Linked DNA regions of Nothobranchius furzeri. The protein of the gene in region 2 interacts with the protein of the main gene of each other region in a pairwise test. Links are inferred from orthologs where the notes say so. Each region holds a gene or a part of one and is shown on either strand. Other genes may lie near its edges.

Region 1 (3,954 bases), on a different chromosome or scaffold from region 2:
CAAGCAGAATTATAAAACAGCGTTTTAGCGCCGTTGGTCCGGAAGTAGATGGGCGTGGCTTAGGCTCCCTACAGTATGTATTAAATCTGTGCTGTACAGTTCCCTCGTTCCCACCCGATACTTATAGTTAGTTAAAGGTTTGTATTAATATCACTCTTTAGTCACTCCTGCAGCTTTATGCCCTTGTTGTGTAAAACACAGCTGAAGCAGATCAGTCTGTCTGAAGCTGATAAAACGATCAGTCTTAGGACTAAACCTACATGCTAACCGGTTAACAAGCTGATCAGCTGGTTAAAGTTAGTAACTAATTAGTTAACCAAAGCTACACCAAATCAGGCTCACTTTTGTGCTCCTGTCTTTGTTTATGATCGTGTGATTATTAAATGTGTCAGTAGATCCATTTATAACCATTATGTTTGCATGAATCCTTTCCAATATGGCAGCTGGAGTGTGGATCAAAGATCTTGTAGTAACACAACTCTTCTCCCGGCTCTTGGAGATTACAGACGCTTTAGTCCTACTCTCCTCCCCATCTTAACCCAAGGCTCTTTGTCTGTCTCTGGGTGGACGGTGCTTCTGCATTTTTTCTGGAAACTGGAAATTATTAAAGTGGACCTGGTCAGTTGGTCTCTCAACGCGATTGACAACATTTTTCAACGATGAGAACGGGAGAAGGGGCTCCCGGCTGCCCCTCTGGGACAGAGCCAGCTGGGTATATCATGGACTCCTGGAAACAGTGGGACCTGATCTGCCTCTCTCAGCTGTCTGTAGAGGATTCTGAAGACGTGTGGATATTCGTGGTGTTGGTGTCGGGATTCCTGCTCTTCGGCCTGAGTGGTTACCTGGCTTACCGGAAAATTAATGAGCTGTCGAGGAATTTTGGCTCAATCCCGGAGCTCAGGGATGGATTACACCGCGCTGTGAACGCACTAACTCATATAATTGTCGAGATGAGTCGTAAGCTTGGAACTTTGGCTGAGATTCAGGCTCTGGCACAGAAGGTGGATTCCATCAAGGAGAGAGTGGACGGATCAGCACGGACTGGGATAGATTAATTACACCATTATTGGATCTAGAGGGGTTGGAGACCAACAGAACACTAAGGCAGAGAGGAAATTATCTCTGTCTGTCCCCAAAACAAGTTCTTATCTGAATCTGGTGCCCTTGTGCCTGTGAGGCTGAAGTGATTACTCCCCCTCAGAAGAAATGTGGAATGCTGCCGTCGCCATGGCAACTCTGTCTCCCTATCCCAGCCTGGGCGGGACTGTGACCGGTGAAGGCCGTGGAATTGTTTCCAGGAGTCACTGTGCTCTCTAAACCCAACGACCTCCCTCCCCTGTCCAAACGGAGGTGATGAGCGCTGCTTATCGTGGCTGCACGCACTGATGTGAGGAGAGTCCCCAACCCTACCACCCCACCTAGTGGACACTTATGTTGTGTAATGTCGGAAGTCTGTTGCATTTCTGTCTGAGGTGTTTTTTGCAGAGCAAAGCTGCCCTCCCTGTGGAGGGTAACTCTGAAGCGCCTTTTTTTCCTCCACTTGAACCAATCCTCATATGAACCCTCTGATCTCTATTAAGGTAGCGCGACTCGGGTTGCAAATGACCACAGTGTGTCTATGAATGTATGTCTGATCTCAGAATTGTGTGTACTGAAACTCTAATTTCCCTCTGGGATTAATAAAGCATCTTTGAATTGAATTGAAGAACCATCCCCATCCCTCATGGCCACTCACACGCCGTCTTGTCGCTGGGCACAAACCGAATCTCTGTGATTGCTCCATCCTCATCGTCGTCCTCTTTGCTGCTGTCGTCATCATCATCAGCAGCACCCATCTCTGTCTCATTCTCATCTGCGATGGACGCATTAGAAAACCAACAACCATGTAATCAGGTCTAGCTTTAGGTAACAGAGTCTGGATCCTGAATCCACACAGCTCCTCTTACCGCCGACTTTGCCGTTCACCATGACGTAGAGGTGTTCCTGGGGGTAGGAGCAGACGTCTCTGGAGATGGCGTGTAGACCGATCGATGGATACTCCAGAGAGAAGCCCTTCCTCGAGTCATCGAACCACAACAGGCGTCTACAAGACAAAAGAGCCAGCTGAGAGGCGCAGGCTGAACACCAGAAGCTCTCACGCACTTCATGACTTGCAATGCTAATAAATAAAAACACGAGTAGGGTAGTGTGAGAATAAAATGTCACATCGCGGTTATTTATCCAAACTGATCATGAACACATGGAGATATAAATATAACACAAATCCCAGACACGCGGAGAAGATAAACAGGTCAAACCAAAACAAACCAGGTGTTTTATTAAGCTTCTGGTATTTCTAACTTGTAGTTTTGTGGTTTAGCTTCATTACACTGAAACAAGGCTCCTCCAGGACGACTAAGAACCACCACATGCTTCACTCACGTTTCGGCCACACACAGCGTCCCGCAACCCAGCTTCAGGCCGTCCAGCTCCGCCGTGGTGTCCGCCTGCTGGTGTCGCACTCCCTCGGTAGGAGGGTGGAGACTTTTCAGCACAACCATGGTCCAGATAACAGCTAGCTAGCTAGCTGTGACAAAGCACGAGCCGCTGTTGACAGAAAGCTGTGTCAGCTACAAATCTGGCTAATTTAACACGAGAATTTCTAAATAAACGTGTCCCAGAAAGCCGAAGAAGGAAAAACAGCCTCCGCACTTTGCCGCTTTCCCCCGGAGTTTAAGAGTAAATGTGAGGGACTCCGAAAAGCATCATAGACGATTGTAACCAAAAAAGAATATTGTTAGCCAACTGTTCCCGCCGCTCGGCCTACGTCAAGCTGAAATCTCGCGGTTTATTCCGCACGTTAAAAGCTCACGTGACCCATCAGGTCGAAGTTGGATGGCTTAGTTCCTACGTAACTTTAGTATTCATGTAAAGAAAGGTATGTGCGTACGTTTGAAGGCCATACGTAGATGCCCAGTGAGCATGATTTGGAATCGTAGGATTTCCAAGGAAGGTCCCGCCTTTCTCGCCTCTGATTGGCTGGAAGGGCTCTCACGATTGGAAAATTGCGCCGTGAGTCCGTTTGAACGATGTATGGTGGGACAAATCACAAAAATTGAATATCATCACATTTCCCCTGGCAATTTTTGGTAATTATTGAATAATATTACATATTATATTATATATTATGTCCTAATTCCTTCACAAAGTACCCTTTTTATTTTTCCTTTGTAGGAAGACAGACACCCGCGACTGTTCGACATTACAGGAACACGACAGTCCTAACACACTGTAGAACACATTTAGACCACATACATTACTATAATATACTATAGCAATAAATCTGATGTAGTAATGCAACAAGAGGACGACGATGAGGATGGAGCAATCACAGAGATTCGGTTTGTGCCCAGCGACAAGATGGCGTGTGAGTGGCCATGAGGGATGGGGATGGTTCTTCAATTCAATTAAATTCAAAGATACTTTATTAATCCCAGGGGGAAATTAGAGCTTCCGTACACACAAGCGCCTCGTGATTTTTATCTTGAGAGGCGCTATAGAAATGGTATTTTCTTCTTCTTCAACACACTGCTCTAATATAAGCATGTTTAATAACTTTAAGTCCTACAAGAAGCCCTAAACTCGAGTTGTAATATCCATTTTAAAGTGTTTATTGAAAGCTAGAATTCTGCTCCAGCTTACCTTGAAGAAAACATGCAGCTGTTTATGCTTTGAATGATGATCTATTATGTTCAGTAGAATACATTTTACAGTCATTACTTTATATTTTTATGTGAAGACAGTACATGCATCTATAACCCAGTTTATCTGGCTTCTATAGCCTGACTAATGGCAACTAAATAAAAAGAAAACTTCAATAAAACTGTATGGTCAAACACGGTAGATGAAAAAGTGTTAATGGTGAAAAAATGAACACCAAACTTGTACAACATGTATAAAAGCATGTTTAATAAA
Region 2 (4,184 bases):
CGTCATGTAAAAGAAAAAGAATGTTCTGGGACTCAAATGCAATCATTTAGCTAAAAATCAACATAAAAGTTGAGCAATTTAACAAACATTTCGCTCACAAGGGGACCCGAGTCTTTATAAACACTGGAATGACTCAATCGGAACTGATAAGATTCAGAAAAATGTTTTTCTACTAAAAATAATAGTATCTACTGAGGCCGATTCTTACAATCCCAGAATGTGTCAAAAAATAAAAAAAAGTGTCCTCACATCATACTTCCTGGGTTTTTCCCCCCTCAGACATTTTGCCCTAGAGAAGAGCCTCTGATTCACATGAAATTTAAAGATGAAATAACAGTCTAGCATAAGGAAAATGAAGATTTATAACACTCTCCTACAAAAATGGACACTTCCCAGAAGCAGTTACATCATCCTGTCAGGCATGGGGGGCTTAGCCGACTCGGAGAGGCGGAGCTACGAGGACAACGCCGTCTCCTCTGACAAACAACATGGGGATGTTCCTCTTGGTAGACTAAAGAAACAAATACAGTAAAAACATTTAAATAACAGATATTTTATTTAAATACTCACTAAAGTACCGTCAAATTTAAATAAAACTTGAGTTTCTGATCATGAACAATAATGAAACCTCGTAGAATCTTAAAATTCTGTTTTATTACTTTCTGCAGATCTATTCAGCGTTATGTTAAAGTGACAAGTTAACATCGTTTAACGTTTCTGCATCTGATGGATCTTTAAGCATCACCCAACAGTGGCACAAGTTTGCCACTAAGCAAACACAGCAAAGAGTCCAAAACAAAAGCTGTTCAGTAGAAATGTGGCTAGAGAGGTTTTTCTATGTTTGTTCATAAAAACTGACCTTATAAAGTTCTTCATACGTCTCCTCATCAATCTCCACTGTTGTCACCGTCTCCTCCACATCCCCCAGGATCATATTTAAGTGTTGGTCATACGCCTGGACCAGATGGCAAACATTAGTTAGGACATACAGGTGAAACTGGACAAAAGAGAATATGGTGCAAAAGTCCATTTATGACAGTAATCAAGCTCAGATGGAGAGACCATCTACAGGCTCAGGAACCCTCTGCAGGTGTTCTGGATTCATCAGCTGATAAAAGTCTGACACTAGAATATTTACCTGAACACAATATTCTAATTGTCTGAGATTATGAATGTGGGGTTTTCATCAGCTGAATGCCATAATCATCACAAATAAAGGCTGAAATATCTGGGTTTGCGTGGAATGAGTCTGTCTCATAGATTAGTTTCACCTTTTAAGTTGTTTTACTGACATTAGAATTTTCAGTCTTATTTTTTTTACCTGTTTTATCAGCAAGTATTGTGAAAAAACTGGATCTTCTGAACCGTGTGTGTGTGTGTGTGTGTGTGTGTGTGTCGTACATGTAGTCGACCGCGGAGCTCCCGGTCATTCCTCATCTTCACGTAGATCCGCTCATCCAGACTGAGCCTGATCAAATCGAGAGGCTCCTCCACCGTGTTGGTAGGTGGTTGCTGTGGAACACATTAAAATAATCATCAATGTACGGATTCCATTTTTTATTGGCATATTCATCAAATAGCAAACATTTAAAAACAAAACTAGTCGGTTTTTTTACACTCACCGGAAATGTTTTTAAAAATCTAGATTAAAAATATCCAATAGGGATGGACAATATATCGGCATCAATATCGGTATCGGCCGATGTTAGTCATTTTTAAACATATCGGTATTGGTCCCATAAATAAAACCGGGCCGATATTAATTTTTCTATCTCGTCTCCATTTGTTTATCAGTTTCAGAGGGTGAGGGGGGTGATGTGTATTTGTTTAATCATGTGACAGTGATTGTAATCACCTCAGAAGCGTAAATGTGTGTGTTGTGTGTACACAATAATGTAAATCCAGCTTTAATAATTTTCATTCTATATAAAATCTGCAGATTTTGGAAGCATTAATGTCAGTGTATATCGGTATCGGCAAATATCGGTTATCGGCCATAACAGTGATCTTAATATCGGATATCAGTATCGGTCCAAAAATTTATATCGATGCATCACTAATATCCAAACATTGTTTAGCTGAGTCTTTATATTGTTATTTATTCATTTTTGTTGTGTCTGTACAGCTTTGTTAAGGCTTGCCTTTAAAGACCAGGGCTTAGAAAACAAACCATCTGATAGGAAATGTAAAGAGAGTGTGCAGAAGTACTGATCAAACCAATTAAACGTCTCATGACTTATTAACACTATGGTATCTTTGTCACTAATATCTTTATTTTCAATTAAATTGCACATTACAGCTTAGAAATATTCATTTTAAATCATAAACTTTGATCCAAACAGTTTGTTGAGACTCGTTACTTACTAAAGTTAATAACTAAACACAATAGTTAAAGAAAACTCAATATTAATTATTTGTCCAATTTGCTAGACAAACATAACGGGAAAAGTCATTCATTAATCTTTCATTTGTGAGAATCTGGTAACTTTTACGCGCTTACTGATAATTTTAGGATGAGCTGAACGCTAGGTGAATGTGGGCTAACCGGTTTCACAGGCCTAAACACAATTAAACCGTGTTAGCAATTAGCAAAATGCTACGCTTGTATCCTTAGATTAAAGAAATGCATAAAGTTAATAATGCGCGACGAAGTCAAGCAACTGCACAGACGCTAAAACGAACAAAAGTGTATAAACACGGCAACCAAACGAACCTGCTCCACTTCATCCGCCATGATGCTTTAACTGGCCTAGTGCCTCAATGGGCTCTGAGGTCGCAGTCATATATACGTAGACGCCCCGTGGACGGCTGCCGTAGTGGCCGACCGCCATCTTAGTTGGGTCTCCATTCGCCCCCACTGCATTAATTTCTACTTAGGAAGGTGCTTAGCCAACTAAAAAACGCATTTTATCAAGCTTTTTCACAAAAGCTGATACAATATATGGCATGATAATTAAAATATAAATATAATTTAACAAAATAAATTAAAATATATTTAAATATAGAATTCCATGAGGTAGGCTTGTAAAGTTACTAGTAATCCCGCTTGATCTGTTTTCAAATTGTACGCCGGTTGTTGTAACTGTAGGCTGCACATAAACGGGCATAGACCTACAGGTCTCCCATTAGATGTTTAGAGTATCTTGATCTTGATGCTGTGAGGGTCGCTAGAACGGGCTATTTTGCTGACATCATTGATACAAACTGTAACAATTCAAAAATTCTCCATAAAACGCTTAACTCTGTCTCAGTGTACCAGGACTCTGGCATCATTTTTTCTACTGCTGCTGGAGAATGTGATGACTTTCACAACTTTTTCACTAGCAAAGTCTCTGCCATTAGAGCTGCTATTTTTGGTTCATCTACAGACCCTGATCCAGTTACTCCAATACAGTCCACCCTGAGCTATTTTAATACTCTCTTATTCTGAGTTGTCTAAGCTTGTCTCAGGGCAGAAGTCGTCTAGCTCTCCACTCGATGTTTTGCCACCTCGTCTGTGGAAGGAGGCCTTTCCGTGTTTGGGTCAGTCTCTGCGTCTGATCATTAACGGCAGCCTGAGCACTGGAGTGGTTCCAACTGCATTAAAAGCTGCAGTCAGTAAACCGATCCTGAAGAAACCAGAATCTGATGTCTCTGTGCAGACAATTACAGGCCAATCTCTATTCTCCTTTTCAATTTGAAACTTCTGGAGAAGGTTGTGTGTCAGCAGCTTTGCTGAGAGACTGGGTAGGCATATCAGGATCTGCTCTGAAGTGGTTCTCCTCTTATCTGTCTGAGGGTTAGGGTTAGGGTTAGGTGCTTCTCTGTGGCCGTCTCCAAGTTTGGGTCCTCCACCACCTCCCTCGCCCATGGTGTCCCACAAGGTTCTGTGCTGGGCGCTCTACTCTTCCTCCTCTATCTGCTCCCTCTTCAGCACATCCTGAGCTCCTTCAAAGAAATCTCCAACCATCTTATGCAGATGACATCCAACTGTACATCTCCTTTAAGCCCCATGAGATGTCGAAGTTGCAAGAACTTGGCAGTGCATTTCAGAATCACTTGTTTTTCTCCACTGATTTATTGCTTTTAACCATTCATTAGAAAATGTGTGCAGGTGCAGTTTGGGACACATGATTTATTTATTTATTTATTTTTATCCAAACCCTTATGTATGACTCATTGTCTGGTGACAGGACAGGAGCATG
Region 3 (4,039 bases), on a different chromosome or scaffold from region 2:
CGTCCGTGCGTGTCTGTCCCTGGTGGAGCTGATGGAGACGTATAAATTAGGCTTAAGCTGGCTCTGTGTGTCCCAGTGAGGGACAAGAGATCTGTCCAGTGTCGTCTTTTTCCTGAAGAAAGCTGAAGATAAACACCAGCTCCCTGAGAAAAATGGCAGGTCTCCATGTCAAGCTTTCCTTAATTCTCGATATTAATCATTTGTTATTTAAAGAACATTTCCACCTGTTAAATTTGGCTTAAATCTGTATGTTCAGGGACTTTTCATTCATTCCTCCCTGAAGCTTGTTTTTGCTTCAACATTTGTCTGATTCAGGACGAGGAGACGACCTCCACGCTTGCTCAGATTGCTGGACAGTTCACAGACAAAGAAGCAATTCCTGGAGATGAAAGCAGCAGCACTGGAGCCGACCTGCTGGCCATGATGGATGACCTCTGACTGAATACCATGATTACAGCATCAGACTGACTGTCTGACGTCAACAAAATAAGGACAATATTTATAACTTCCTATGATGTTCAAGCTCACGTTTCTCTATACAGCACTGGTACATCCCCAAGATGCTGTAGCAAAGGCACAAGCAATAAAACAGCTATCATAACAAAACATTTCATTAGGATACATGCAACAAACAAAATCAGCTAAGATAGAAGCCTATCTTACAGAAATGACCACAATGTCTGAGTCTGACATAAAGGCCAGATCAAAATGCTCCAAGCTGGGACCGGTCCTTATACGAAGGGAAGGCTGCTCTATAATCTAGTCCGTGGAATCAGAAACGTCCACTTTGTGTCTGTTTACCTGAAAATTCCCAAGAGTTCAGCTCTAAATGTCTGGTAAATTAATACATAAAGGTATTGTTGTCTGGTTTTAACATGATTTACAATGATGCTCTGTCGTTGGGTGGCAATGGCAGAGGAGGTAAGTGGCTGCCTTGTAACAGGAGGGTTGCAGGTTTGAGGCCTGCTCATTGTGTAGCAGTCATCTGCTTGAGCAAGGCACACTCCCTGGCCTGTGAAGCCAGGTGAGGCTACCCCATTGGTTCTGGCTCACCCTGGCTACAGTCGCACACGATCAGAAGTAAAGTCGTCTACGCTGGTAAAAACAAATAAAGTTATCATATTCAAAAGCAGTCGTGTTCACGTTGTTTTTTTAACGTTGGCTTTCCTGATGACTGAACATGTTTAACATATTTTATTATGAATGAAAACTCGTCTTAGAGTTTTCAGAACCGGATCCGGAAGTTACGTCACTAAATGGAATGCGTACGTAAGCGGAAGCCAGCGCGGAGCGGCAGCAGTTCGGTGAGTTCAGACAGTTGTTGTTTGGTGAAAGTTTGAATCTCCCCGGATGTGTCGAGTTTATTTTAACGGGACCCTCGTTATCAGCACCGCTGTCGTTAGAATGCTGACCGCGGCGGGTAAAAACTGCTTTAGCTAAACTTTAGCTTCACACACTGAGCACGCGCCAACCCCAAAACTTAAGTCTCGCGAGATTCCTGTTAAAGACACGAGATCTGGTAGGATCCAAATCTGGTCCCGTCTCGAGGTTCAAGTTTGAAGCTTATGCTCTTTTTAGCGGAAAAGCCGGAAAAAGATCCGGTTGTTAGTGAAAGTGTTAGCCTCAGGTGCTAGCAGGTGCTACAGCTCGGTTCTGGTTCCGTGAGACCACCAGAGGGACAGGTCCTGGTTCAGGTCTCTGATAGAACAGGATCAGCTAACAGGACTGAACCCGGCCAGAGAAAGTCCTTCATAATCATACGGGTCAAAGGCGAGGTCTGGCTCGGTTCTGTTGGGATGAACGGACCCGTTTCAGTCAACTTCCTTCTGGTTTCAGGTCAGGAGAACCGGGTCTGAGCAGCCCGGGTTTCTGGCACCAGAACCTGTGGAGAGGACATGGAGTCTGAAGCAGCTGGAGCTCCAGCCTCGGGTGAAGTGGTTAACTCGATTCGTGAGCGGACCATCTCCGAGAACAGCTTGGTGGTTCTGCTGCAGGGTCTCCAGGGCCGGGTGACCACGGTGGACCTGAGGGACGAGTCCACGGCCCAGGGACGTGTGCTCAGTGTGGATGCCTTCATGAACGTCCGTCTGAAGGACGTGCTGTACCAGGACCGGCGGGGACGGCGCCGCCAGCTGCAGGACCTGTTCATCACCGGCAGGAACGTGCGTTACGTGCACATCCCAGATGACGTGGACATGATGAAGACCATCCAGAACCAGCTGGACAAGATCCACAGAGTCCGGAGCTTCGGCAGCGAAGGCAGGAAGGAGTTCTCCAAGAAGTCGAACTGATCGGACCGGTACCGCTTCGGCACAGGAGTGGGCGATCTTTGTCGGTACATCGTGACGCTCGCGCGGTAACGGTAAACACCCGATGTCATCGCTCCTCGGTCAAAAGGAGGACTGTTGCATGGCAACAAGACTGACGTCTGAGTAACGTTCAAAACTAAAAACACAAAACTTCAGAAGTAATTCATGTTCGGATTCTTTTTCCAGACGAAGCAACGCTAAAATGATCCCGAAGGAAGATATTTTAGTAAAAAACAAACATTTTTCATGTTATTCGCTCAGAAAGGTCCTGAGCTGAGCTCCGATCAGCTGATGGGCGGTTCTGACCCACTGCGGTACACGAGAGACTCTTCTGTCTCTGGTACCAGCAGCCTGTCTGAGGCCCAGTCTGACCAGAACTTTAGTCGTGGTCCTGGTTCTGGGTTGATGCAGATGGGACTTCCAGCGCCGGGTCGGGATGCTTGTTCTGAGCTCCCTGCAGTTCCAGGAGCCGCGGGTCTCCAGCCCGTCTCTGATTGGTGGAGGGCCAGACCATGTTTGGGAGTAGCTGCGTTCCTCTGGAACACGAAGGCTGCTGGGAATTTTTATTCCAGCAGGAGGATGGATACGAACCAGGAAAACCACTTGGATCCGATTCAGCCTGAGTCAGAACCTGACCACATCATTACCACAGGTCCAGGTCTAGAGAGACCAGAACCTGCAGCGTAACAGAGTCAGCTGTGAGATGGAGACACCCCCCCCCCCCCCCCCCCCCAGACATTCCTGCTCATCTCGGCTGCAGCCGCCCAGTTGTTTCCTGCTCCGCCCACCAGAACTCTCCAGAACCCTGCGGGCTGAGCAGTGGACCTGGGTCAGAGCCAGATGGTCCTTTCTGGAGTTCCCAGGCAGGATTCGGTTCTGTGGAGCCACTGGAGGGATGAGTGGCCAGAGACGAGGAGCGCCGATTAAACCTTCATCAGAACCGAGGTGAGTCAGGAGAAAGGTTCTGGTCCAAAGAGCCTTTTGTGAGCTTCAGCAGCATGATAACAGCACGTACCTTGGTGGTTCTGCTGGATCAAAACTCCATTCTGCAGAACTCAGGAGGAATGTGGATCCTCTTAGGTTCAGAACCAGTTTGGGTCTAAATCTGGTCAGAATCAGAACTGGGACTAAACACCACTCTGTTGGTTCTGTTGCTGCCCTGACCCAACAGATCCGGTTGTACTGGCTGTGCAGCACCAGGCTAAAGTTCAGAGGTGCTGCTGTGGTCCCCAGACTCTGGAGCTCTCCCCCCGAGCCTGAGACCAGTGGACTCAGTGGTCTCCTTTAAACTCAGCTGTTGGGGTTTGGTGGGACCTCCCTCTCCTGGTTCTGCTCTTGCTCCACCTTTCCCAGATCCCCCGGTGTCCCTCTCCTTTCATTTTCTCTCCCTTTACTTACATTTTATATCGATTTTTTTTTTCTTATTTTAAACTTTTTTAAAATCTTTTTATCTTTAATTTTTTTGTTTTTGTGAAGCGCCGTATTTTTATCTGGGGTTGCCATAGAAACGGTCCTTTTCTTTCTGGATTGCTCCTCTTCAGCCAACGAGGCCAAAGTCAGATTCTGATGATCACAGAGAAATCAATCAGACTAGAGCAAATGATCACAGAGCAATCAGAGTAGGGCAAGCCACAGATATATTTATTTAGAGCTCTGTTGGCCGCTCAGGTGCAGGAAATGCGGTCGCCATCTTAGATGGGTGGAGCTTGTGGCAGACACGAACCATAGCA
Region 4 (4,212 bases), on a different chromosome or scaffold from region 2:
CACCATTCGCCTCACGCTCATAAGTGACCAAAACAAAGCAGCATGGAGACACTCCGTCTCCAACCACCTCTCAGGCAGCCGCCTGCACTCCCAAGTTCTACACGTCACCAGAACATAACCAACCACAACACAATAAAAGCAGTGTTATACAAAATGGAAGGCCTGTAGTGTTTATTCTCTTATAGTAACAATCGATCCTACAGCTCTCCTCCGTGAGAGCGGGGTTGCACACGTTCCGTTGCTGTTTCTCACCAGTATCAGATGATGGATGGCTCTAGTTTCGTTGCGCCGTTCGTGTCAGCGGACACGGTAGAGTCGGGGAGGGGGGCAAGGTGTGACCCTTAGCCTGGCGGGCTACCAGGCTTATAAAGTGCTAGGGGAAACCCTGAACTGGTTAGCATCTTTTCCCTCTCTGCTGCATGCACAGCAATGCACACTAATCCTCTCTTTAATATAACTGGATCTAGTTTTAGGCTACTCTCTTAAATAGTCTAAGCATTTTATGTGTTATTAACAAGTTATTAATGCATACACACTACACCTTTTTAAAAGATGCCACTTGTAAAAATAAAGAAAAATAATTTATAACAATAAATGTGTGCAGTTTATTACTCATTCCCAGTATAAACTACTAGAATTAGAAATGTGATTTATTTTAATCTTCCAGCGTTTTGCATTTAGCTGAATGGAAACAAATAAACAACTCTTGCAGACTGGTTTGGAAACCAGTACATCTACTTGGATCATATGGCCTAAGCTCCACAGAACTAACACCCTTCATCACACATACCACTAAAGCAGCCAAAGGGGATGCAGCAGAATTAGAAAGAACTTCACTGCCATTCCAACTACCTCTCAGAAATCGAACTGCCTTTAATAGTGGTATATTCAATACAACTAACTGTAACGGCCTGTCTGCTGATCCTTGAACGGGGTGAGTGGGTCAGTTATATAACTAAACAATCTGCACACACACATGCATACACACACTGATCATCACCTGGGTACAGGAGATGGTGCAGAGACGTGATGATAAGACTTTGTTGTCACCAACCTATGACCGCTCCTCAATCTGCAAATTAATTAAAATGGTTATGTTTGAGATTCACTCTATTTAAATGATCAACAGATGGCTGCGTGCGTGCGTGCGTGCGTGCGTGTGTGTGTGTGTGTGTGTGTGTGTGTGTGTGTGTGTGTGTGTGTGTGTGTGTGTGTGTGTGTGTGTGTGTGTGTGTGTGTGTGTGTGTGTGTGAGCACTCAGTGAGTTAAATTTACTGTAACATGAAACCGGTTTAAGTTCTGAGTCACTGGGTGCTTTTATCTTCCCCAGGTTTCTGAGGAAGTGTTTCACAGAAGAGCTTATTGCTCAACTCATTTGCTCTCTACTAGGTGCAGAAGCTGCTGACCAACAAACAAGTAGGTCAAGTGTCACTCTGGATGCGCCGGGGACTTTAACTTAAAAATAGTAAGTTTGAGACGTGACAGATAAAACTACAAGTCATCCAGCTCAAGTTGCCATGATTTGGCTGACATCAGATAAGTCAGAGAAACCCTTTAAGTTGTGTTGTGCACGTCATTTTATTGTAGTACACTGATTGTACTTTAGGGAATTGCAAAAGTAGATTTTTGGGAAGAAAAAAAAAACAACCCAAACATAAACATCTGTAAATCCTCAGCTGGAAAAAGACCAAATAATGTGTAACACCAACATGACTCATTTCCTCACAAGACATAACCTCTAAGATCACCTTCAGGCAACTCCACAACACTTTACCTAGTGAGAGAGGATATTGTGCAGGGACATCTGCAGCTAGTCACACTTGACTCTCAAGCATATCCTTTCACACTAACTTGCCTACAGTGACGTACAACACCATCAGAATCTGGAGCCACTTTCAGGGCCTAAAAACGGCAACTAAACGTGACCTTTCACCCATTTAAACGCTACTAAACCAGCAGACGAGAACGAGCCAAACAAACGCACAACATGTTTCACTGACATTTTTGAGCCTCCCTCCTCCATGACTCATCGTGAACTCTTCACTGAGCAAACAGAGCTGGTTGTACGATAGCACGACCCAGAAGTGGAGCTCGTCCTTACATAAGCCCGAACGGAATTAAGATTTCCGCGCCATCTACCTACCTGACATGAAGACGCTTCTTACAAAGCCCACTTTGCCTCGCACACTAAAAAGGTCACAGTTTCTGAGCTCGTTTTCATCAAATACTGGAGGCGTTCAAAAGGCAAAGCAGGTGGACGCCATCGGCTGTAAGTTTGTAAAACGATTAGAATAAAGTAAAAACAATCTGAGACGCAATAGAAACAAATAAAATGTCACGGAAATAGAGCTGACAGCAACACGGACTCCTAATAATAGACTAGAGTAACGGCTGCGAGTCGATAGGTTAACGCTAACAAAGCGAAGCCTGAAAACAGTACTGCTACTTGGGTTTCAGCGGGCACTCAGACCTGTTCAAACTGGTTCTCTAGACTGTTAGTGGTTTGGTACATTTGTAAAAAATAAAGGACACTCACGTAGACTAGCTCAATTCCTCCATCATGGGTTTTCGAGCAGTTCGCCACATAGGAAGGAGGGGAAAGCAGTAACTCCGTGACTAAGCAATTGTGGCGGCCTCCCCTCACTTTCACAATAAGAGTCTTCCCCTAAGCGCGAGACCTGCCTCCGTTAACGTGTAATGGAAGAAACGTACGTCACGAGGGAGGAGGCTTTTATTCGGAAGGAATTCTCAGAATGAAGAAAAAGCTAGGCCAAAATGGGAGCACAGTGCCAAAACTGTGACTCACAGTTAATCAAATGTGTCAAGGGAAGCATGCTCTAATACACCTAAACGTAAAATGAAAATACTTGGTAAAAAGTTTAAAAAGAAAAATGCAATGCTACATGAAATCAATAACTGTAATAACAAACGGCTATTTAATGACTTGTAACACAAATGTTTTAAAATGCAATAGTATGTGATTAATACTAAATGAAAACACTGCTGCTAAAGATCTGACCTATAATAACCCCATAGCTAAATGATAAAAGATGATAAATGACCCGCACTTGTATAGCGCCTCTCAAGAGTAGGGACTCCCAAGCCCTTTACACTGCAGTGTACCATTCATCCATTCACACACACATTCACACACTCATTGTGCTTGTCTGGACTCTTCTTTGAGATAAACATGTTTGTGAGCAGCTCCAGCTCTGAGCAGCAGTTTGCCCCAGGCATGCACTGACACCAATAGTATATGACACACCAGTTCTTTCTGTTACAAAATATGTAAGCCAGGTCATAGTGGTCTCTCTCACAGTCACAAGGTGGCACCACAAGCTAACTGAGTGTTCAGGCCTAAGGAGTGGAAGCTGCATCAGTCTACTACTGCTCTGCCATGAGATCAGTGGAAGGGGACCCTCCAGCAAGTGTCTGTGCACGCGGACTTACGACTTTCAACGCGCCTGTTTGCTGTTGGATTTCAACAGGAGGAAGGACTGCGTCCAAAACCTGGTGAGTAGAGTCAACATCTGGATAAACATCTGCACTGGTACAAATCTCATCAAATCTGAGGTTTTCCCGTGCAGCTGCTCCAGTTGTTGCAGACAGTCATGCCTTATCACCCTAGATATTAGTGGTGGGAATTCCGGCTCTTTTAAGAGAGCCGGTTCTTTTGGCTCAGCTCACCAAAAAGAGCCGGCTCCCTAGTGGCTCCTCAGATTTTCTGTTGCGTAGAGTACATTTATAACCAAAATAATACTAAACTATTTGTAGAATGATTTACTAATATAAAAAAATTCAATATATCAAATATTTATCATTTCTATGGATTTAATAACTGAACACTTTAAGAAATCTACACTTTCTGACTGCTGGCGCTCATTTTCTCACCGTCTTAGTCGCACTCTCCTTTTACCTCCTCCTCATTCCCTCTCGTCTCCCTCCTCCCGCATGTGCTCTGCTGTGTGTCTGAGTCTGATCCTCCCTCTTCCCCGCCCCTACTGCTCTGTGTGTGGACAGTCTGGACACGCAGTTACACATGCTGACCAATCGCCTGTGGCTTGCACCAAAGCAAGAGGGGAGGGGAGGGGACGGCTCCCGTCGTTCACTTCAAAGAGCCGGCTCTTAGAGCCGGTTCGTTTGCGACCGACACATCACTATTAGATATCAAACTGCAGCCACAGATTTATGCCAAAATGTTTTTATTGGCAT

The links. The genes of interacting proteins can lie anywhere in the genome.
Region 1: the proteins of lsm3 (region 2) and clns1a interact in binary tests that used the Homo sapiens proteins (3 or more experiments, as listed by UniProt). The link is inferred for Nothobranchius furzeri from reciprocal best matches to the Homo sapiens genes LSM3 and CLNS1A.
Region 3: the proteins of lsm3 (region 2) and lsm10 interact in binary tests that used the Homo sapiens proteins (3 or more experiments, as listed by UniProt). The link is inferred for Nothobranchius furzeri from reciprocal best matches to the Homo sapiens genes LSM3 and LSM10.
Region 4: the proteins of lsm3 (region 2) and keap1b interact in binary tests that used the Homo sapiens proteins (3 or more experiments, as listed by UniProt). The two-hybrid records come from large-scale screens. The link is inferred for Nothobranchius furzeri from reciprocal best matches to the Homo sapiens genes LSM3 and KEAP1.

Annotation. Positions count from the first base shown.
Region 1 is NC_091753.1:60,549,141-60,553,094, reverse strand, and holds the start of clns1a (methylosome subunit pICln), read right to left. Parts: upstream 2,801-3,954; 5' UTR 2,541-2,800; coding exon 2,422-2,540; intron 2,084-2,421; coding exon 1,947-2,083; intron 1,853-1,946; coding exon 1,736-1,852; intron 1-1,735. UniProt on the Homo sapiens protein: Involved in both the assembly of spliceosomal snRNPs and the methylation of Sm proteins.
Region 2 is NC_091743.1:73,197,565-73,201,748, forward strand, and holds the start of lsm3 (U6 snRNA-associated Sm-like protein LSm3), read right to left. Parts: upstream 2,801-4,184; 5' UTR 2,735-2,800; coding exon 2,714-2,734; intron 1,513-2,713; coding exon 1,402-1,512; intron 956-1,401; coding exon 860-955; intron 512-859; coding exon 431-511; 3' UTR 1-430. UniProt on the Homo sapiens protein: Plays a role in pre-mRNA splicing as component of the U4/U6-U5 tri-snRNP complex that is involved in spliceosome assembly, and as component of the precatalytic spliceosome (spliceosome B complex).
Region 3 is NC_091759.1:27,048,194-27,052,232, forward strand, and holds the start of lsm10 (U7 snRNA-associated Sm-like protein LSm10), read left to right. Parts: upstream 1-1,239; 5' UTR 1,240-1,304; intron 1,305-1,761; exon of another isoform or gene 1,762-1,836; 5' UTR 1,837-1,895; coding exon 1,896-2,291; 3' UTR 2,292-2,362; intron 2,363-3,117; exon of another isoform or gene 3,118-3,254; intron 3,255-4,039. Other genes in the region: protein OSCP1, read left to right, coding at 316-438. UniProt on the Homo sapiens protein: Appears to function in the U7 snRNP complex that is involved in histone 3'-end processing. Increases U7 snRNA levels but not histone 3'-end pre-mRNA processing activity, when overexpressed. Required for cell cycle progression from G1 to S phases.
Region 4 is NC_091747.1:74,194,569-74,198,780, reverse strand, and holds the start of keap1b (kelch-like ECH-associated protein 1B), read right to left. Parts: upstream 2,801-4,212; 5' UTR 2,537-2,800; intron 1,073-2,536; 5' UTR 1,001-1,072; intron 1-1,000. UniProt on the Homo sapiens protein: Substrate-specific adapter of a BCR (BTB-CUL3-RBX1) E3 ubiquitin ligase complex that regulates the response to oxidative stress by targeting NFE2L2/NRF2 for ubiquitination.